Caenorhabditis elegans: one gene and its partner. The protein of the gene in region 2 interacts with the protein of the main gene of each other region in a pairwise test. Each region holds a gene or a part of one and is shown on either strand. Other genes may lie near its edges.

What was found.
Region 1: the proteins of dhgd-1 (region 2) and mpz-5 interact in a two-hybrid assay, tested with the Caenorhabditis elegans proteins (one large-scale study listed by BioGRID).

Annotation. Positions count from the first base shown.
Region 1 is NC_003282.8:10,370,895-10,377,623, forward strand, and holds mpz-5 (PDZ domain-containing protein), read right to left. Parts: upstream 2,929-6,729; 5' UTR 2,892-2,928; coding exon 2,868-2,891; intron 2,824-2,867; coding exon 2,713-2,823; intron 2,634-2,712; coding exon 2,505-2,633; intron 2,461-2,504; coding exon 2,335-2,460; intron 2,289-2,334; coding exon 2,202-2,288; intron 2,162-2,201; coding exon 1,772-2,161; 3' UTR 1,744-1,771; downstream 1-1,743. Other genes in the region: iars-1 (Isoleucine--tRNA ligase, cytoplasmic), read left to right, coding at 20-658, 709-1,227, 1,281-1,406, 1,463-1,585; Ankyrin repeat and KH domain-containing protein mask-1, read left to right, coding at 4,052-4,165, 4,216-4,383, 4,430-4,599, 4,976-5,094, 5,432-5,556, 5,612-6,001, 6,586-6,729.
Region 2 is NC_003280.10:11,536,221-11,543,837, forward strand, and holds dhgd-1 (D-2-hydroxyglutarate dehydrogenase, mitochondrial), read right to left. Parts: upstream 4,411-7,617; coding exon 4,218-4,410; intron 4,145-4,217; coding exon 3,578-4,144; intron 3,522-3,577; coding exon 3,005-3,521; intron 2,943-3,004; coding exon 2,756-2,942; 3' UTR 2,684-2,755; downstream 1-2,683. Other genes in the region: Y62F5A.9 (uncharacterized protein), read right to left, coding at 2,226-2,350, 2,406-2,579; gtf-2E2 (Transcription initiation factor IIE subunit beta), read right to left, coding at 4,606-4,923, 5,573-5,860, 5,911-6,002, 6,050-6,143, 6,193-6,270; F54D5.9 (F-box domain-containing protein), read right to left, coding at 6,591-6,850, 6,911-7,174, 7,228-7,617.

The sequences.
Region 1 (6,729 bases), on a different chromosome or scaffold from region 2:
GAAATATTATCGTTTTTAGGAAACTGGAAATGTGTTTGACATGAACGTTCATGTTGCCAGTGAAAATGTCATGGATCGGTGGATTGAATCCTTTACAAACAGTCTTGTTGCGTTTGTTCGGAAAGAAATGGATAGTTATCGGCTTTATGCTGTTGTTGGACCGCTTACAAAATTCTTTGACACTCTTACAAATATCTACATCAGATTAAATAGAAAGAGAGTCAAGGGAGACAACGGACTTCATGAGCAACATCACGCTTTGGCAGCCCTCGGACGAGTTCTCATTTTGATTGTTAGATTGATGGCTCCTTTCACACCATTCTTCTGCGAGTATATCTGGCTAAATTTGAAGAAAGTCATTGGTTCGACTGAGGAATCAGTTCACTTCCTGATGCTCCCAAAACCGGATGAGAGTCTAATCGACGAGACTGTGGAAAGACGAGTTGAAGTTATGAGAAATGTTATCGACTTGGTTCGTCTTGTTCGCGATCGTGAAGGACTTGCTGTGAAATATCCATTGAAGGAAATGATTGTTATTAACAGAGACAGTCAGTTTTTGGAAGACGTAAAAAGTTTGGAATCATATATTCTTCTTGAGTTGAACGTCAGAAAATTGACCGTTTCACAAGATAAACAGAAATACGGAATCACCCTAAAGGTATTAAAATTTCAAAAAGTTTGTTCAAAATATAATACTTAAAATTACAGGCAGAGCCAAACTTCAAAATTCTGGGTGCTCGTCTCAAGGGAGAACAAAAGAAGGTTGCTGACTACTTGAAGAACCAAATCACTGAATCTGAGTTGGAGAAATTCCTTCTTGAAGGAAAATTGACTGTGCTTGGGCATGAGCTCTCCTCGGAAGAAGTTGCTGTTAGCTACGCGGCTGGAAGTGATCAAGGACATGGATACAAAACTCACTCGGATGCAAAGACCATTGTAATGATTGATACAACTGAAGATGAGTCTCTTATTGAAGAAGGACTCTGCAGAGAAGTGACAAATCGTGTTCAACGTCTTCGCAAACAGGCTAAACTTGTATCTACTGATACTGCTCATGTTCATATTGTTGTTAGTCCAGCTGATTCTCAACTCGCAAAGGTTGTTGCTGCCAAATTGAATGACATTGTATCCGCTACTGGAACACCTATCAAGTTGGGATCACCACCAGCCGCTGCAAAGGCTCCAACTGCCACCAGCAAGAGTGCAATTAAGGATTCAGAAGTTGAGGTAAATTCCGTTTTTGTTGATGTTCTCTAATATTCCTGAACAATTATTTTCAGCTTTGGTTGTTCGCCGAAGGTGACAGTTTCGATGGGATCACTGTTGTTGATGGATCAAAGAAAGTTCGAGTTCATGTGAAAACAGAAAAAGAACACCTGAAGGGATATGCTGATCTTCTATATCACGTATGTTTATCGGGTTTTCCTAGAAATTTAAAATGTTAAATCTGTTTTTGTTTCAGGTTCGCTCTGCTCTTGATCTCTGGAACGGTAAGATTGCCTTGAAGAATGTCGATGGATCGGCGGTCCATCCAACAGTTGACGTGACGTCTCTTGTTGGTCAGACTCTTCAACTCGTACGATAAATTGCTATTACATCTTTAAATTATCCATATCCGGTTCGCATTTTAGTTCCTGGCTTTATTTGAACCCATTTGAACCGCAGTTTTTCTCATATTTGTTTCTTACACTATTTTGTTTGCTGTTAACGTATAATATTTAATTATGAATGTTTAAGGATTTTAATGTAGAAACTTTATTATCAGAGAAATTCAGCTAGCATTTTTACACGCTCTCAGTTTAGCAGGATCAATGTCACTAACGATCTGATGTTCTGTACGTCCCTCTTTCAATTTGATGTTTTTCTTCTTATCTCCTTTCTTCGGTTGTTGTGGTAGATATCCTTTCCCCAATTTTCTGAACTCCTCTACCGCCTTATCAGCAATTGCCACAACATCATCTGCCAAATCAATGTGATCTCTGAGAATATCTCGAATTGGTGCTTCAATAAGAAGCGTAAAGTGTCCAGAAGAAGCGATGCTGCTCGCAATACAATAACGGAGCATGCTCTTCGAGCAAATTGCCTGAGAATTACACTCCCGAATGACATCTCCAGATTTCAGATGGATGGATGCTAAGCTGTTTGGAGTAACATAATCAACCTGAAAATGAAATGCGGTGGTTACTGTAAGTTTAAATTACCTCCAAACGATCTCTATTGTTATATTTGACAAATAATCCCAAGTCAATGAATTGCATTTCAGGAGTTGGACGAACTTTTATGAGAACCTAAAATAAGAAAGTTTTTTTTTTAATTTTTAAAAAGCTGTCTCACAAAGTAATGGTTAACAGGATTTGGAGTGATTCTCTCTAAATCTCTGTCAATTTGGATTTTCTCAACAGTTGTTCGAATATGAAAACACCAGGAAAACATGTTACGTTTCAGTTGTAGATGAATATTCTGAAATTTTCGTTTGCAAACACTCGATTCAGAAATATTAACACCTCAGTTTTCTCTTTCAACTTTTGGTGCAACTCGTCACTAGTGTGGATAACTTTTTCATCGATTGCAGTGATACAATCACCTAGAAATGCTTTTCCAATAAGATGTGATTCAGGAAGGACATGTGTGATCTGAATATGAATTATGTATGGTGTCCCAAAATCAAGATCAAGAGCTCAAGAATTTGAATAAATACTATTTGACAATTACCCGACAATCCTGCTTGTGTACACGAACTCCTATTGGCTTTCGAATCATGAAATGGTCGATCAATTCCTTTGGCAAAAGCTTGTCAATGTTGAAATCTTTATCAAGAGCCAACTTAATTCATTTATGTTTATTTTGAATCGTTTCAGTTGTCTTACGCTGCCGCTTTCATTTTTCTTCATAATTCGATCGGTTTGTATGAAAACTCAATTGGGAAATGATTTTTTTTTGATTTTCAGGTTTTATAAAACGTTTTCTTAAATCCAAATAATTGGAAACGTGACATTAAATTTAATATTAAAATAACACAATTTTTAAAACTATTCTTCTTTATCACGAATTGTCGATTTCTGTTTTTTACAAACATTTAAACAGAATTCTGTACAGAACTTTTTTTTATTCACAAAACATAAAAACCTTTTTTTTATTTTTTGGGAGCACGCACAGCAAATGCGTCAGCACAAGTTGCTGGCGCAATTCTCGTGCTGACGCTTTTACGAACCCATTATTTTCTTTCGAATTTGCCAACCAGCTTTCCAAGACTCAATTCTTGCATGGTTTTGGGAGGAATATTGAATTTTTCAGTTTCATTTAATTTTTGAAGTTTGCAAAATCATTTTTCATATTACTTCGTTTACATTTCTATTGCTCGTAACTGGATTTCGTTAGGGAAAAGGAGGATGCGTTATGCGCGAGTATTCGGATTATCCTCCATAATTTTTTTCTAGTTTTGATAAAGTTAGTTTTAATATATTTGAGAAAATTGTTTATATCGATTGTTAAGAAATCATTATGTTTAATTCAAAAAGTAACATGCGTTTCGGATCTACGAAGTCATTTATTTTTTTGAATGCTAATTTTAGGATTTTCTAAATTTTCTAGAATGTTATTGCGAACAATAATCAATATGTTCCTTCTTTATCACTATCATCCATCGATTCATCTTCTCACATCCTCCCTAATTCCTTTCCTCCTCATGCCCGTTGCCATGCCGTTGTTCCGATAGTGAAACGAAAAGGGCAGATGGAAGAAGACGTGTATTATGTCTGTCACGCGCCTACAACTTCTCCGAACATCGCCTGTGTCTTACTTTCATGGAAGAAACACAATAAATTGTTTTCCAACATTTTGAAATTATGGGTTATCCTCTTCACCTGCCACATAGGTTTCCGGAAGAAAATTTTTGTTTTGAAAAGTTACCATTAAGATTATTGTTTCAGTTAAAACAATCATTTTTCTTTGTATTTTCCTTTTTGCTTAAAAATTCAGAATTTTCCAATATCAATTATTTTAAAAATTTCAGAAGCGACGAGACCACCGTGTTAGTTTAGCCAAAGGTGGAATGGCTCACCTTAATATGTTCAATCACCTCATTCCATTAGAAATGGATATGGATGGAGCAGACGAAGAAAAACGACAACGAGTTTTTTCATCTTTTTACCACTTTGGTGCTAGGGTGAGCTATTTTTGTTCGACTAAAAAAATTTCAATAAATTTATATTTTAGCTTTACGATTGCCTTCACACAATTGCCATCGAAATCGAAGACGATGACTGTGAGCATTTTCCGACAAAAGCCATCTCAACTGTTCTCAAAATTCTCAATTTTGAGCATTTCCTCTCATCGGACAAGTGTCGATTTCCCCCGGTCTCCAACCTTCTCGATATAATTGAGGTAAATATTTCAATTAGTTTAAAGTCTCGATTTTTATTAATTTCAGAGTCGACAAATGGATGATTGTCAAATCCTTTTTAAAATATCCGACCTTCTTGAAGATCATAAAAGTGAAAAACCTGAAAGATTTGGACCGTACAACCCTTTGGATCCCAAAAAGGTTCCAATCAAAAATGCTGTCGATGCACTTACCTCGGTTTCCTCGATGGCTTACTCGTGAGTTTTCAAATTGAAATTTTTGATTGAATAAGTAATTGGAATTTTTCGAGTATTCACCTTAAATAAATTAGCACTTATACAAAGTACATATCAAAAATTATATACCGAAAAATTGAAAATCAGGAGCGCCATTTTTTTCCATTTTCTATGAAACACGTTGGAATGACATTGCGGAATAGGTTATTTTTTGCAAAGTTTCCGAAAAAGTCGAAAGTTGCAGTCGAAAGTTATGAAAATGAAATTTTTGTTATTATTTTTGAATACAAAATCGCATTTCATGCTCAATTTTCTAGACATTTTGAAAATTATAAATTGATTGACGGAAAAAAGGAACCTGAAAAAATAAAAAAAACATTATAGAATTATTTTTCAGCTTTCTTGCCACTACATTCGCCGAAGAATTAATGAAAGCAGCGATTCGTGATATTTATGTTTTTGACGAAGATTCGCTTGAAGACAACGATGAAACCCAACTCAGCGACGAGAATGGTGGTAAGTTTTGATTAAAAAAACAGCCCGTTATTTCATACTATATTACAAAAATCGTACAAATATTACAAAATCAAGCTTTTATGCTCAAACATTTTTTGATTTCAAAATGCCTTAGGATCTCGTAACGCTTTGAACTTATCCACAAAATAAAAGTAAAACAACATTAACAACATTTTATAATAGACATTGAGTGTTAGTACAGAATAAGAAAATATGCTTAAAAACTGTTTGTTTTAGCTTTATGATGTGACTGACTGAAATGGACGATAACATGGACGGTGATAAATTTCTGGAAAAAAAAATAAAGAAAATAAACAGAAATAATATTAAATTTCAGTATTCGATTCCACACCTTCGAATAACGAGAAAAAAGATTCGATAATCAATTTTCGTCAACTTCCTTCCATTGATAGTCAAATTGTTCAGCAAAATGCAATGCTTCTTCTTGCAGCTCGAGTTGGTGTAAGTCATTTAGAAACGTTTTTCATGAAATTTCAAACTATAATTATTCCTTCAGATTGAACAATTTGTTGAGTATTCTCACGAAATTGGAGTTATGCAGTTTCGTGGTGATAAACTATCAAAAATCACTCCTCTAATGGAAGCGGCTGCAAGTTCCAGTGAAACTATTGTTCGACGACTTCTTGAATTGGGCGCCGATCCGAATGTTGCGTCGATTCCAAACTGTAATACGGCACTTATTTATGCAGCATCAACAGATGGAAGAGATGTTGTACGAGAGATTTTAATGACGGAAGGACCCAAGAAGCCAGATGTTTATCTTATCAATAATCATTATCATGATGCAATGATGGAAGTTGCACTTGTTGGTGGAACGGATACTTTGAAAGAATTCTTGGAAATGGGTTATAGGCCTCGATTTCTTAATCTTCGACAACAAGAACGAGTAAGTTTCCGTATTTCTATCTCAAAAAAAGGTTTAATAAAAAGAAAGTTCCACCGGAAATTTGTATACATTTTCCAGATTATCACAAAAATAATTTGTTTTTTATGGAAAAAAGACATTGTTTTTTTAAATTGTAAGTCTTATAAAACTTATATTGATATCAAACTTTAAAACAGATAAAAATAAAATTCTGAAGGTCTTTTCAACTGTATAATGGATATTCGGGTCGAGTTTTTTCGAATGTCACTCACCTCTCATATATCTCCACATAATAATAAAACAACAAGGAAGAGTTCAAATGCATTCCCAAGAGCATAATTTTTGAGTCAATTGGTTGTAAATATCTCTCTATGGTGATATTTTATAACCACTATATTGGGCAATTTAAACACATTTTTAAAAGTGACAGTCTAATGTTAATATATTCTAAAACTGAGTTATAATGAAAAAATAATACTTGAAGAATTCACGGGACACTGGGACTTCGGTTTTTTCGGCTCTCGAAAAAAGCAACAAAAATCCTAAAGTTGTACAGATAATATATAAAAAAGTTATTAACTCAAAACTATTTGTAACATTTTCAGGATTCGGCTCTGACTCTTTCCGCTCAAAAAGGTCACATTAAAATCGTCACCGCAATTATGGATTACTACGAAAAGAATCCGCCACAAACGGAAGAAGAAAAACAAGAGTTATGCCTCGAACGTTATTCTGCTCTGATGGAAGCA
Region 2 (7,617 bases):
AATATGGTTTTCCTGCTGAGAAACAAAATTTTTTTTTCAAATGTTCGCGATATTATACGATTTTTTTGCGCTGAAAAATACGGTATCCGGACTCGACACGACAGTTTTTCAATAAATTCGGAAAGGTACATATGCGCCTTTGAAGAGTACTGTAATTTTAAACATTTGTTGATGCAGTAAATATTCTCACGGATTTTTAGAGGTTTTTTTTTGAATATTTATACAGTTATATTAGAGTTAAAAAAATAAATCTATTTTTATCGAAATTTATGAAAAATCTACTCCCCAGAAACAAAGTTTGAATTTACTTAAAATGTATGTGCGCCTTTTTAAATTCAACAAAAATTTATCAAATTTTGTCTTTTTAATCACTTTTACTTTTTTTTCGAAAAAAAAAAAAACTTTAAAAACACCGAAAATTAAAATTTTTAATTACCGTAATCCTTTAAAGGCGCACACCTCTTTTTCGCAATCATAAAAATTTACAGGCACAGAATTTCCTACTGTAACGTGTTTTCTCGATAGAAACGTTTCTCCAAATCGAAATTTTTATTAGCAATCATCAATTCGTCATGTTTCTGTGCTGGAGCACATTGTTATGCAGTGCTCATGAATATTCACAGTTGAAAATCGAATTTTTTTTTCTTATTTTTATTAACTTCTCTCCTCACTCAAGTGCAATCTCATTTCGGCGGAACGATGAAAGCGGACTCGTTTGAAACGGATTACACTGCTGGCTGGCTCCATCTTTTTTATTTCTGGTTTTTTTCCCGACACGGGAGGTCATCCGTCCACGTCTTCAATCTTATTCGCTTCTCCTTCTATCTATCTCTCTTCCAAAAAAATGGAACAGATTGTCCGCCTTCTACTTTCCGCATGCGCCTATTCTAGACATCGAGAAGAAGCGAGAGAATCCGAAAAACTCCGCCGTCCGGCGCCTAGCGTTCATCCCGTCGCATCCAATTTCCTTCACCCCTGTCTCCAGTCTCTAATCTGTGTTTCCCAGACCTTCTCCTTCTTCTTCTCCCCTCTTTCTTCCCTTTCTTTTCTACGATTCCTAGACCTGCCCGGTTGACCATCGGGCCCACCATTTATCGAGCGCGTCCGTCTGTTCGTTGCTGTGAGCGCGCGCGCGCGAGCGCACACTGCACACCATTTGACCGCAACGAGCCGAGAGAGTGTGTGAAATGAAGAGACGCCGAGTGGACACGTTGCTCTACACCAAACGCGCTACACCAAATGGGCGGAGACCCAATGGTGCACCAAGTCAGCAGTATAAAAGGAATGGAAATGGTCCATTCAGTCATCAGTTGTTTTTTTATTTTCTCTTTTCTCCCATCACTTTCTCCCTTCTTCCCCTCTCCTAATTTCCATTCCCAACTATTATTCTCGGATCAGATCGAGCCATTGCTGGTTTCTTCCACAGTGGTACTTTCCATTAGAACTATCACCGGGTGGAAACTAGCAGTGGCTCGATCTTTTCCACTTGCTCCACCGCTGTCGGGGAACCGCGCCAATTTTCGCTTCAGTGCTAGACCATCCAAAGTGTCTATCACCGGGTGAAAATTCGCATGGGTCCCCGACGCGGAAAGATAAAATATCTTAAAATCGATTCTAGAAACCCTTGGACCAGTGTGGGTGTCCGTTGCGGTGCTACATTCTCTAATCTGTATCACCGGGTGAACACTTGCAGTGGTCCTCGTGGTTTCTCTGTGAGCCAGGTCCTGTTCCGGTTTTTTCCGTGGTGATAACGCATCCAAAAGTCTCTATCACCGGGAGAAAAACTGGAGTAGGACCTGTGACTCATTCCGATTTCTGGAGTTTTCCCCTACATTCTACCATTCAGCTACTGATTATTGAATTCCTGATATACCGAGAGCCCAGCTGATTTCGTCTTGGTAATAAGCTCGTCATTGAGATTATCACCGGGTGTAAATCAGCTTGGCTCTGGTGTCTCCGAACCTCCTGTCCGCACCTCAGTGGATGTATGCCATGATGATAAGATATCAGAAATCCTATCACCGGGTGTACATCAGCTAAGGTGCGGGTACAGGTGCATTTGATATCAAGGTGAGTTATTTTTAAGTGGGTCCCAGAGACCTTGGTGGTTTTTCTCTGCAGTGATAGATACTTCTAACAACTCGCTATCACCGGGTGAAAAATCACCTAGGTCTGGAGCCTCCTGCTCTTTTTTTGCTGTTTTTAAACTTAAACTTAAAACTAACACTTTATCAAAATAAAGTCTTCCAAAATCTTTTTTCTGATCTGCCGGAAGACTTTCCATGAATTTGTCCAAAACTCGTTGCACTTTATCCTCGTCGTAATCATTTGACACCATATCTTTGGATAACTAGAATAATTGAACATTGGTTTAAAAAAATTCTCTCAAAAAAAAAATCACAAACCTGATGAATTTTAGCCTCATCTATAGCAGTATCTGCGAGAAGAATCGTAAGATTCATTGATAATTCTATATATTTTCCAATAATTTTATCCGAAGCTGGATGTGAAGTTTCTACAGTACCTCCGTGGCATAATACTACAATGGAAGCAAAAAGAGCGACAATTAGGATCGTCATTTTAGTGGAGAATGATGAATTGACCCGGCTCTTTGGGGGTTGGAGGATTCATTTTCCCCTTCAACAGGTGCTCAAATAATTAAAGAGAATAGAACCGACGATATATGGGTCAAATGTTTATACAGTTGTGCTACTAAACGTATTGTTACACGCGTTATTAATAATTAGAATTAGAATTATATCGTTTTGTACGGATTGAGAATCCCATTTGGGTCGAAAATGTTCTTGAGCTTCTTTGTCAAAAGTCGTTCTTCAGGATCTTTTCCGAATGTGGAGTACGGTAGCTTCAGTTGACCGATTCCATGTTCAGCTGAAATTGACCCGCCGTGATCGACAACCCATTCGTAGAGGAAGGGATAGAGCCTGGAATTTGAAATTATTAATAGAATTAAAATTTTATAAAAAAGAAAAATCTCGAAACTTACAATTTTTCAAGTTCTTCATTGTGTTTTTCAGATGTAATATTTAAATGAGTGTTTCCATCTCCCAAATGTCCATAAGTGACAATTCTTTTAGCCAAAGAACCACATCGTTCCTTCATCACATTCGTCAATTCATAATAATTTTCCAATGGTAAAGAAACATCATGCTTATAGACATATCCATCTCTGGTAACCGCCAATGGTGCACTTTCTCTCAATTGCCACATCTTCGTAGCTTCTGCAGAAGATCCAGCGAGCACTCCGTCGATAATCAGATTTTTTGAGAGGCATTCATCCAAAAATGCGCTCATTTTCTCCATATCGTGATCTTCATTGGATCCTGATGTTTCGACAAGGATCGAGAATGGGGTTGGAGCATTCAGTACTGGGTGCAATCCTAGATTCGTTTTCAAACATTCCATCGTAGCATCGTCGAGAAGTTCGAAGGAGGAAAGGATTTCAGTGAGGCTGGATTTTGCAAGCTTCAGTACTTCGCAGCATTTTTTGAAGGATTCGATGCCTGAAAAAAATTAGAAATTGAAAAATTTGAACCCATTATATAAATATTCAACCTACCAAGCATCGCACTTTGTACACTTTTCGGTTTAGGAACCGCAGTCATTGTGACGCTTGTGATAACACCCAACTGCCCTTCACTTCCCAAGAATAGGTGTGGAGTGTGCAAAGTTGTGTTGTCCTTCCGAATGCTTGATCCCAAATGTAGAACAGTTCCATGTTCATCGGGAAGAACCACCGTGAGCCCGAGAAGATGTGCGTGAAGACTTCCGTATCGAATCAACCGAATCCCTCCTGCACACGTGGCAATATTTCCTCCAATCTGACAGGATCCTTTGGCTCCGAGATCAAAAGGCATCATATATCCGAGTTTTGCAAGTTTGTTGTCCAAGTCTTCCAGAATAAAACCAGAATCACACTTGAGAATTCCCATTGTGTCGTCGAAAGAGAATTGCTTGTTGATTTTATTCATTGATATAACAACTTCATCATGTACTGGAATTGATCCACCAACGAGTCCTGTATTCCCTCCTTGTGGGACTACTGCCAATTTGTTCTTGGAGCAATACGCCAATATTGCAGAAACCTCTTCGGTGCTCTTCGGGTAGAGGACGACACTGCCAGGACCTGGAAATTAAAACATTTAATATTTAAAGTACCTATTTAATATTAAATAAACCTAATCTTAAAATACAAATACCTTTAAATTGGCCTGTCCAATCTGTAGTATGATTTGTAATATCGTCCTTCTTCACTGCATCTTGCCCGAGAAAATTCTCAAATGCCATTAAATCCGACTGCATCACTTTTGCAAATCCTTCATGTCTGGCGGCAAGAACTGCTGCGTAGCTTCTAGTTGGTCTTCTGATTCGTGGCAAGATTTTCAGAAACATCTGAATTCAGAAACTTTTCAAAAAATAACTTGAAACTTCAAAAGAAATAGTAGGAGACAAAGCTCGGCTAGGTGACCGATTTGCCGAAAACAATAAGAAAACAAACGGCTGGGCAGTGATAAGAAAAAGAGACAGAAGAGATACAAATGATCATAGTTCATTTTATGTACTGTTAACAGAAGTGTGTAATTAAAATCATTCGTAATCCTCCAAAACTCCGTCCATATGCTCGTTTTGTACTTTTTGATTGAACCGTCTCTTCGCGGCTTTTCTTTTCAGTGGAGCCTGCATTCGAACCTTCGGCGTCAGATCCTTCATCGCGTCGAGACCCTTCTTCTGGAGATATTCTTCGATTTTCTTCTCATCCAAATGATCCACAGACACGTGTCTCCACAAGGCTTTGAAATCGTCTTCGAGCTCTGGGAATGTGAATTCTTTGTCATTGTAGAAGACGACTCGATCCTTTTTCTTATTGACTTGTGTCGGAACAACGATCACTTCAGAGGATACTTGCTGGAAAAATTTAATTTAATATTTCACAAAATTGCTCCTTTTTTATACTTTGATTTTTTCAGTTTGACAAATTTAAAAATTCTGATTTTTAATCAAAATTAACCCTAAATACCCTAGTTTTTGAAAAGTTATAATGAGAATATTCTGCCTTCAAAAATGTTTTTCCTTTGAAAATTTTTTAAGGAAAAAGGTTTTATGCTGGAAAAGTGTAATAATTTTTTTTTACTTTATTAAATATATTTTTTCAAACCTTTTTTTTATCGATTTCAATGTTTTTTTGTGGAATATTTAACTTATGGGATCGAAAATGATCAAAATTATTCGTGTAAAAATTGAAAAATAACGTTAATTTGTTCAAAAGTCTGAAAATAAAGTAATTTCTGAATTTTATTTTATAAATTTTCAACACATTTTATCTTTTTTGTGAATTTATATATTTAATTTTCAATTTATTTCAATTTGAAAATCAAAAAAAAACACATTGTTGAATACTCAGAAATTCTAAAAGATCTAATTCATCACAAACTCAAATTTTAATTACTACGAAAAATAAGCCGCTGATAATTTTAAAATCAATTTTACTAATTTTTAGCTGAAATTTTTGAAAAATAAAAACTTTATTTTTGTTATAAATTATTCAAATTCCCACCTGCAGTAGTGCATCATAATTAGCCACACACTCAGCCAAATCCGACACAAGAATTCCACCTTTTCCGTCCTGATAATGTTTCCTCGCGACAGCTACCAACGAAGTTTTTCCTTTAATTTTGTAAGGTGGTCGAAATGCGAATTTTTCGGATTCCATTATCAGTCGAGGATTGTTTGGTAATGCTTCTTGAAGGAAAGCAAGACTTCTTTTTGAAAGATCAAAAATTTGAAGTTCATCGAGAATTTCTTGAAGTGTCAACGGCCATTGTTGATTGTTTAGGTGGCGTTTCTGCAATTAACTGTTTTTAACTCGAAAATTTCGCTTTAAAATATAAATACCTTCATATAATCCACAATTTTCGCCATTGTACTGAAATTTGTGGCATTTGATAACGCATTGGCGTTGCTCACGGAATTATTGAAATCTGGGACTGAAAATTCCGTTTTCAGAAACTAATATTACATTTTAACAACTAACGTTTCGACAAATTTTGAGCCGGTCCAGAGCTTTTCTTCTTTTTCGCTTTTGCTGCTTCTGAAGAGTATGTTGTGTGTGAATTTGGTGCTGTTGTCTTAAAAAATCGATAAATTCAATATTTTTTTAATTTTTAAAGTTCTCACAGGCTTATTCTGAACAGCCATCGTTGTTGCAGCATGCTTCTGGAAAGCAGTTCGCTGCCTTAACAATTCCGGATCCATTTTTGCTTAAACGAAAACCTTTCGAAACAATGAAGAGTACTCTCTTAAGAGTGAAAATCGATGATGGAAGAGGTTTTTCAAGGCCAGTGGCCGGCAAATAATGGTGGCAGGGGGCTGAACCCTGTAGTAAACAATAAAGTGAATTAGTTTTCGCTGATTTTATCAGAATGAGAAAGATGGAACAAGGAGTGAAAGGAGCTTTAAATTTGAACAATTAAAATTAAAATTAAAGTGAAAGTAAAAGTAAAAGAAAACAAAAACAAAACTAATTCTACAGTTGGAAGCTATTTTCAAAATTTTCTAGACAGATAAAACATGATTTATTCCAGCTGCTCCTCTTCTTCTAGTGGATCATTGACGAGTTCAGCAGCTAGGTCATTTGGAAGCTGGAAGCCTATTTGGTGAAGAACCACTGTGTTTGATATATCCGTCAACAGGCGAGCCATTGAGAGCTGACCGTCGAGCTCTTCGCGGATCTTTTCAGAACACTCGGTTGTGTTTGTCGCGTTCTTTACCATTTCCTTCAACCGTGAACTTTGAACGTTCCAAATCTTTTCGAGAAAAGCTTTGTAGCAACCGTCTGTAATAATAATAATATTCGTTATTTCTCGCACCGAAAAGATGACAGAACGCCGCTCACCGTAATGACCATCGAGTTGCGCAAGATGATTGAATGCGTGGTGCAGTGGTTCGGCGAGAAACGTGGCAGGTGCAGCCGACCAACGATAAAGATGGTTGCGTACGAGACACACCATCTCCGCGGCTTCATTCTGGAGAGTTTCATAGTCGTCGCGGCGAGGATCGAGACAGGTGACAAGATATTCGCTGAGCAATCCTGAAGAATCAATGGCCAGCGCCATAGAAGATGAGGTCTCAGACCAAAAGCCTTGTACTTCGCAAACTTCTGAAAATTAAAAAGCTATTAAAAATTAAAAATATTAAAAAAAAAAATATTACCAATGATCCGGAGGAAAAGCTGATAAAGTTTCTTCCCGCTCCACATTTGGTCCGAACTCTTGGAATTATTCATGATGCGAAGAGCGCGGATTCCATTGAGCAACGTTGACAGCAATTTCCTATAGTTTGGCTCACTCTTCCGCAAAGTGAAGGTATCTGAATCGTCCTCACAGAAATACGCCCAGTCGACGCGTTCGCCAATTCTTGAAGATCTTGTTGGTCCGAATAGGATGTAATAGAACTTTCCCTGATATTTTTCAATTACGTTTCGGATCAGAACAGACAACCAGGAGCCAAACTCGATAATCTCCTGTGGAGAAGCTTCATCGATGTCTTGACTCAAGTTGAGGAAGAGTTGGGTCAACCCGGAACGAACTTTCATCTCGAGAC